Linked DNA regions of Oryzias latipes. The protein of the gene in region 1 interacts with the protein of each later gene in a pairwise test. Links are inferred from orthologs where the notes say so. Each region holds a gene or a part of one and is shown on either strand. Other genes may lie near its edges.

Region 1 (3,755 bases):
TCTCATTGGTCGAGTAGATTTCGACGCGACGCGTCGCGTCGAAAAAAAAACGAACCCGAGGCGTTTTTTTTTTTACGCTTTAACGCGTGCACGTTTTTTCGTGCCCTTTGTTTAGTCACGAGGCGTTAAACGTCGGCGAAAATCGCCGGCGAAATTCGTCCCGGTGTGAACAGGCCTTTAGCATGTTATGTGTACACATTTGTGAATTAAATACACTGGAAACAGATAAGAGTTACCTTGCATGGCTTTGTACTGCATGGGAGTGATATGCTCAAAACCAGGAGGAGGAACATCCCAATACTTCTTGATCTTCTTCTTCTTTTCACGATGGGGAGATCGGCTGTAAGAGGGAAGAAAAAAAAATAAACATTAGGAGAAAATGAACTTTTTTTTAAAGAAGGTTGCATCGATTTCAACATAGTAAAAGTGACAAAAAAGACAGAAAAATGGACAATACCCAAAAACAAATTACTTGAACATGTGTAAATTGTCTTTAAAGTGATAGGAGTGTCAATGTACAGTTTCTGCAACTGCCAGCTTTGTGTTAAGTTTTCTGTTACCTTGCAGTATTTTCTTGAGGGTAGGCGGGTGGCGAGCTGAAATGACAAATTGGAGGAAGAGATTTAGATTTCTTATATGAATCAAACAAACTTTTTGAGTTATGATTCATAAATAAAATAAAAAACACTGCATTTCCAGTCACACTTGAATATCAATGCACTTCAAAACAAACAAGTGAGAATTCTCTTCTAATTTCAAAAGAAGTAGGGAAAAAAAAACGAATAAATCAAATGAAATCAAAAGCTCATCAGAACAAACATACATAACTGGTGCATTTGTGTGAACAATGTAATGATGCATGTAGACTGCAGACATTACAATAAAGTTAATAAAGAGACTTAACGTTGCCATGTTATTGCTGGACAGTTGATAAGAGATTTTACACATAACAGCTTGTTTTTAAACAGGAGGATTGGTGTAGATGTACTGACTTGCGCCGGTGTCTCCGCTCCTTACTGTCCCCACGGCGGTCCCTGCTGCGTCTTTCCCCGCCATCCCTGCTCCTCTTCTTCCTCTCTCTGCTGCGGCTGCGGGATGAAGAACGACGATGGTGCCGGTTTTCTTTGTCCCTTTCTGTGGCAAAAGAGCGGTGCTCAGTAACTATGAAGTATAAAAGTATAAAGTGTTTTTCATTAAAACAAAAATCTTCTTAAAAAACATAACCCCAGAAATATTGTTCATAAAAGCAAATTAAAGCGAGCTGAATTTAGACATGTTCTCGATGTTTAATTTTAATTTTCATAAATGGTCTTACAGGTATGAACACAAAGTGAAAAGATAAATCAAGTAGTAATCAAGTAGAAGGAAAATGTGCATAAATGAGGTTATTTCTCTTAAAAGTACATTTTTATGTTAATCATGCTACAAGACGATGCATCTGCAGATAGGTGGGAAAAAAAGGAAGATAAAAGAGGAGAGTACAGGAAACCAGCTATATTAAAGAAGCAAGAATTTGTATCAGTAGCATAAACACAATATGAAACTGAAAGGACTATTGCAAAAACTGCAGTAGAGAATGTATAAAGATAAACAGTTGAACTTGTAAAAAGGAACTATCGAGCACGAGCGGCTGAATGATAATTCAATGACAGAAAGCACCGCTTAAATATTATTACACGCCACATGAATCGGACATGCCATAATAATACCACGATGGAGTTCAAGATAATACAAAATTGAAAACATTTTAATGTTAATAGCATTATACAACAGTACCGAAAGCCAGATTACAGGAAAACATCGATAAACTTGTAAAGCTGCGTTGTACATTTAGAGGCTATTTGATCATAGGCCAGTTAAACAGACACGTCCGCGACGTGCTAACCATAGAGATAAAAATGACATGTACCTCTTTTGCAATCATTGTTAATTGTGTAACTAGTCCATTTACCTTGATGGTTCTCAGACAGTTGTCTTTCAAATTCGTCGAAATCCGACATCTCTGGATAGAAACCTACTACGCTTTCGAAGACTGCGTTGTTCGGTTGGCGGAGGCTAGCTTAAGCTAGCAAGAAAGTGAGCACTTTGAGATTCAAGCGCTTCAATGATAGCGCTTCGGAAAGTTAACCTCGGTTAGCAAAAACACGGCTCAAAAACAAACCTATCAAACGATAGGTGGTATCACACACATTAGTGACGTGGTATTTGCTCAAATGTAACACATACAAATACGGAAAAAGGAAAAACGTGCTCGCTTAAGTTAGCCCGCTAACGCCAGCTAACTAGCTTGTAGCAAAGTCCAGAAGAAAGGCCTGCTGCTCCACACCGCCGAGGAGGCTCAGCTGCTAGCTAGGCTACGAAATCCGAATAAATGAGACTATTTTCGAAGCCCAAAGCGAATCCAGCTTAGTCACAGGCCCACAATATGTGTTTATGTGACGCAATAATCCAAATCTTTACGCCTTCTGCTGTTTTAAGTCTACAAAAACAGCAAAGATTTTGTTGTGCCCGCTTTTTTGCTCCGACTCCCAGATACCCCGTGACATCGGAAGTTGATGAACGCTGCGTTTCCGGTAGAAGAACGTCGTGTGGTTCTGGCTTGTGTTTGGAGCTGCATGGAGACAATTCTGTGATTGAATTCTGATTAAAACAACAGAACACCTGCATGTGACTTTCTCTGTAATGGTTATTGGGAGAATATTTCTAAATGTATGAACTTAAAAACGACGTGTTTCAGTTAAAAATACATGTTAATATAGTTAAATATCCAAAACTTACTGTAGATTTTAAATGTTATGCTTAAAGCTTTTGTGTTTCAATCAACGGTCATTTACACAATTTAATTAAACAACTACAAACTGGATTTTAGTGATAGATCCTTAAGAAAGATCAACACAAAACTCAGCCCTAAGCACTGCGGATAGATTCAGAAGAATTGTCAGCATCCTGCTGTATACTTTGAATGATTTACGGTTCATCAAGCAATAGCCCATTTTTTACACACAGACAGGCAGGACAGATCATGTTTAGATGAGCTCTATCAGGCCCTGTTATGCAAAATATTAATTTCTTAGAGTTCGTCTTTCTAGTAGGGATGTAACGATTCATGGTGTTTATTCATATCATAATTCATGTTTGCTGATATGATTCATAGTTAATATTGGTTCATTTTGAATGATCTGAGTTGATCCGATTCACTGGCCTAAACTCGATCGAGGACATCTTTAGCCAAAAATTCAACCAGTGATACTTAGAGATAAACACCTGGAGACTGAACGGTGCAGGTGAAGTTTTCCAGATTCCTTCTATTTCTTGCAAGATAATCAAGTGTAAAAACAAACAAACAAGTAAACAAGAATTAATGGAAAATCCATTCACATTTTATTTTCATAAAGTTCATCCCACTAATGTTTTTCCACATCAAAATAATCCAAAGGGAACATTTTTAGAACATTCTGCCACGCTGTATGGTCACATGTCTTTGCATAATTCAAAGTGTTTCGTCACATTGAACTGTAATGATGGATTGATCATTTTTTGCTGCCATCCTGTGTGAGTGTTGTCTGCTGTGATGGCAGTTGGTCGTTTTGGCGTTATAGTAAATTAAACGTATTCACTCCTTTACCAACAACATTTCATAAATGTCAAATAATAAGCTGTCAGTGCTTTGCAATTCCTATTTTGTTGTCTTTTTACATACAGGTGACGATGTGTCTATTGCCAACTTCTCATCAAAAAATATCAGCAGTAGCTCC
Region 2 (3,755 bases), on another chromosome or scaffold:
TCGAAAATAATATGCCTTTTTTAATAGAAATTTTTTTTAATTAATGGTACTCTGATTGATTAAAGCTTCTGTGAAAAGATACACTTTTTGTTTTTCGCTTTTACTTTAGCAGGACTTCAGTAGTGAGAAAAGTAAAACTAAATCTAAAGTAATTTAGAATTTGTTCCTATATTATTTTAGGGGTTAATGAACGTGACTAACTGCAAATCAGTGCAGTTTTTTTTTTTACAGCAATGGTCGCTGAGATAGCTGGATTGATATTTTTCATTTTTTACGGTGGACATAGTGGTGTTGCAGATTAGGCTCAAACTTTGCACTTGCACTTGCACTTTATGAATTTAATTTAATTTAATTTAATTTAATTTAATTTAATTTAATTTAATTTAATTTAATTTAATTTAATTTAATTTAATTTAATTAAGTTAAGTTAATTTAAGTTGATTTACGTTATTTTATTTTGAAAGTCAATGTTAAAGCGGAAGCTTTCCTCTCTCAGTCACATGATGTTTGATGTCTTCACTTTTCCTCTCAGCGAACTCAAACTGGGGTTTTCTTGTCCTTTACCGCTCTCCGTCCACACCGTTACTCTTCAACTCCTGAAAATGGCTGAAGCCCCTCCACGGCCCTGCCGGTTTTTCTGTCACCGGTGCTCAGCAGAGGTTACACCCCGTTTACCAGTAAGAACCTCACAGGCACAACAGTCAGTAGGAAAGCGGAGAAAATGCGTGTTATCTAAATATGAGTGTGTTAGATCAACAGACGTCCACGCGCTGCTGCTGTTAGGCTATACCTGTTTAGCTAACCTGTCAGTCAATGTCAGTAACGAAGTTGGCAGGCAGAGACTCCAGTTATCCCTCTGTATTTACATACATACACTTTCAAAATGGGAACATTTGGGACAAAACCAAGGCCAGCTTTCACAGATCAACACTGTTAACTGTCTCGTGGCGTTTTCTGACCACAAGCTAACAAACAGAAAATTCCATTTGTTTTTAATGTCATAAATGTATTCAGGTTTCTCCAGAAATATTTGAACTGGTTTGTTTTCTGTGACCTTGAGTCTGTGTTTGAAACTGGTTTGGGTCAGATGGCGCTTTGACTCTTTGACAGCATGCTGTCATGCTTTTCATGGGAAACTTCTTGATTGTTACAGTAACCTTTGCTTTATTCAGTCGACTGTTTAGCTGTGTGATTGTGTTTTACTAAGGAAGTACTGGCAAAGTGTTTTTATGTATTCTAGGCAAATATCTAAAAAACAAAGGAGTTTATTTTTCTAAAGGTCTAGTTCTGTTTTTTTTTTTAAATAGTGTAGGTATTTTAACAGACTAACTAAATTCAGATTTCTAAGGATTTTAACTGTCAGATTAGCATAATACATTAAAAAAAATGTAATTATCTTGGACCTATAGACATCCTACAGATAAATATTTGTGGTATTATGACATAATATGATATTGTATTTTTTTTATAGGACTACACATGTCCAAGATGTAATTCTGGTTTTATCGAGGAGCTACCAGAAGAAATAAGGTGTGAATTGTTGCTATTATTCAAATATGTGTGGTGCACATTTATTTGTTTTGTATTTTGTGTTACATTTTAAACTTTCTTCAGCTCTGAAAATAGGTCAGCATCCACTTCCTCTGCCAGTGACCAGAATCGTCAGTCCTTTGAGGTAAGAGGGACTTAAAGACCCACTCCAATAAAAGTTTCTTGGTGTTTTTAAGCATCTTCTTGTAGCATTTTTCTCATGATTGAGGACACATATAACGGAAATTAAGATTACAACTGAATTTCTGACTATTTCTTTGTTCAAATCAGGAGCAGACGAAAAATATTACATTTAAAAAAGCTTGTAGTTGTTGTGTACAAATGATAATCGGCTGGCCACAAGTTTCTTGCTCTGGTCCAGACCGATGCATCCATTTTTAGACACCTAGATCCATGTATGTATTTGTTTTCCGCATCTGGATCCAAACCGTAAGGCTGGATCGCCATTTTTGTTGCACCGGTAGTGTTAGGTTGGGGTTTAAAGGGGCTGTAAGCTTGTAAAAAAGGGATGATGGGGAATGAGGGCGTGCTAACTCCATGCCGACAGTCCTGCCCACAACTCAGAGTCAACTTTCTAATGAACTACTGCCGCTCTGTAGAAACTATGTCCTAGAAAACAACACAGGCTTTTTGATTTTGCCTTAAAACGGCACAATCATAATTTAAAAACCACTAGGAATGCCTTTAAAAAAGATGAAAAGATAATCGTTGTGGGGGCTTTAGTAAGTGTTTTTTTTCTATGGAAAAAGTCTAAGTCGTTTTTGGACCTTGACTCTGTGGTTCTTTGCAGGACATGGATCACCAGCACTTCTTCACATTTCCCTCTGGATACGGTCCGTTCGCCCTCGGCATCTTCGATGATAACTTTGACGTCCGAGCGCGGTTACCCTCAGAGGATAACAGAGAGGCAGAAAACAGGAGAGAAAGGGAAATGGCATCGCGGCAACGATACAGTGCACGGCAACCACGTGGTCGCTACTTTCCTCGGCGACAGGGTACGCGCCATGAGGGAGTGCCCACATTAGAGGGGTGAGACATTTGTCGTGGCGGTGCGTGTGTGGTACAAGTACAATCCAAAAATAAGAATACTGTAAAAAGTTACATTTTTGTCAGTCATTTAAAAAAGGGAAACATTTATTTAGTACACATTTGTTTCACGAAAATTTAACATTTCAAGTCTTTAATTCTTATACTTTTAAGGTTAAGGTTTACAGGTAGTAAAAACCCTTAATTTCTATGTCAGAAAATTAGATTATTCTGAAAAAAGGCAATTTTCTATACACACTGTGCCACACCTTAATTCTACTCACCTACAAAGGTTTCCTAAACCTCTAAATGATGAAACCTGAAAAAGAGTCGGGAGCTTGTGAGTTAAAAGTGGATTAATTGAGTATTTGGCAGAAATAATCATTCATGGTATTAAAGGCAGCAGAGGAAGAAAAATATTGTTACTCCTATTTAAGCAAGAAACAAATTAGAGACTTTAAAAACAAAAATGACGCTGCAGAAAATCATTTAGTTTCTATCATAAGTGTGTATTACACAGGTGTAATGCTTCATTTTCAATTCACTTCATTTGTAAAGGACCAGTTCATAATTCAGGCAGTTTCAAACTGTTATACAAAAAACAAAAAATATTTTAATTGAGCCTGATAATTCCAAAAAGAAAGCCCAGACTGTTTTAATTGTATATCGATGGCCTATTTTAGTGACCGACAGATTTGGTGTCATCTCTGTACCGAGCACACACAAAGTGACTGTGAGGAAGAAAACCTCTTCTTAATGGGAGATTAGAAAGAAACAGAACCAGATTGAGTCAGGAGGACCACCTGCTGTGGCCGGCTGGGGTCTAGATTACAAGGAAAAGACGCACTAAAGCAAAAAATACTGAAAACAACGCGACGAACAACCAGCAATGAGGACACATCTGTTATTAGACACAAAAACATGTTAGTAGCATGTCAGTTATGCAGCAAAAAGGCAGTGAAAGAACAGAATGGGAAAAATAAATAATTAAAAAAGCATCGGAACATCTGTTGTAACACAAAATCTGTTATCATAAGTTCAAAGTTTGTACAAAACCACATTTTCTTCATTTTTTTAGTTGTGTAAACACATCCTTCCATCACTTCCATGACATATTTTGTACTTAGCTGCCTTTAGATCTAGATCCTACATCTGCTGTCACAGCTTCATTAAACTGA

The links. The genes of interacting proteins can lie anywhere in the genome.
Region 2: the proteins of u2af2 (region 1) and sugp1 interact in binary tests that used the Homo sapiens proteins (3 or more experiments, as listed by UniProt). The link is inferred for Oryzias latipes from reciprocal best matches to the Homo sapiens genes U2AF2 and SUGP1.

What each region holds. Positions count from the first base shown.
Region 1 is NC_019874.2:19,813,591-19,817,345, forward strand, and holds the start of u2af2 (splicing factor U2AF 65 kDa subunit), read right to left. Parts: upstream 2,576-3,755; 5' UTR 2,001-2,575; coding exon 1,952-2,000; intron 1,162-1,951; coding exon 993-1,161; intron 597-992; coding exon 561-596; intron 341-560; coding exon 237-340; intron 1-236. UniProt on the Homo sapiens protein: Plays a role in pre-mRNA splicing and 3'-end processing. By recruiting PRPF19 and the PRP19C/Prp19 complex/NTC/Nineteen complex to the RNA polymerase II C-terminal domain (CTD), and thereby pre-mRNA, may couple transcription to splicing.
Region 2 is NC_019875.2:22,733,403-22,737,157, reverse strand, and holds the start of sugp1 (SURP and G-patch domain-containing protein 1), read right to left. Parts: upstream 2,347-3,755; coding exon 2,319-2,346; intron 1,676-2,318; coding exon of another isoform or gene 1,615-1,675; intron 1,531-1,614; coding exon of another isoform or gene 1,472-1,530; intron 678-1,471; coding exon of another isoform or gene 603-677; exon of another isoform or gene 510-602; intron 1-509. Other genes in the region: E3 ubiquitin-protein ligase RNF126, read left to right, coding at 603-677, 1,472-1,530, 1,615-1,675, 2,342-2,580.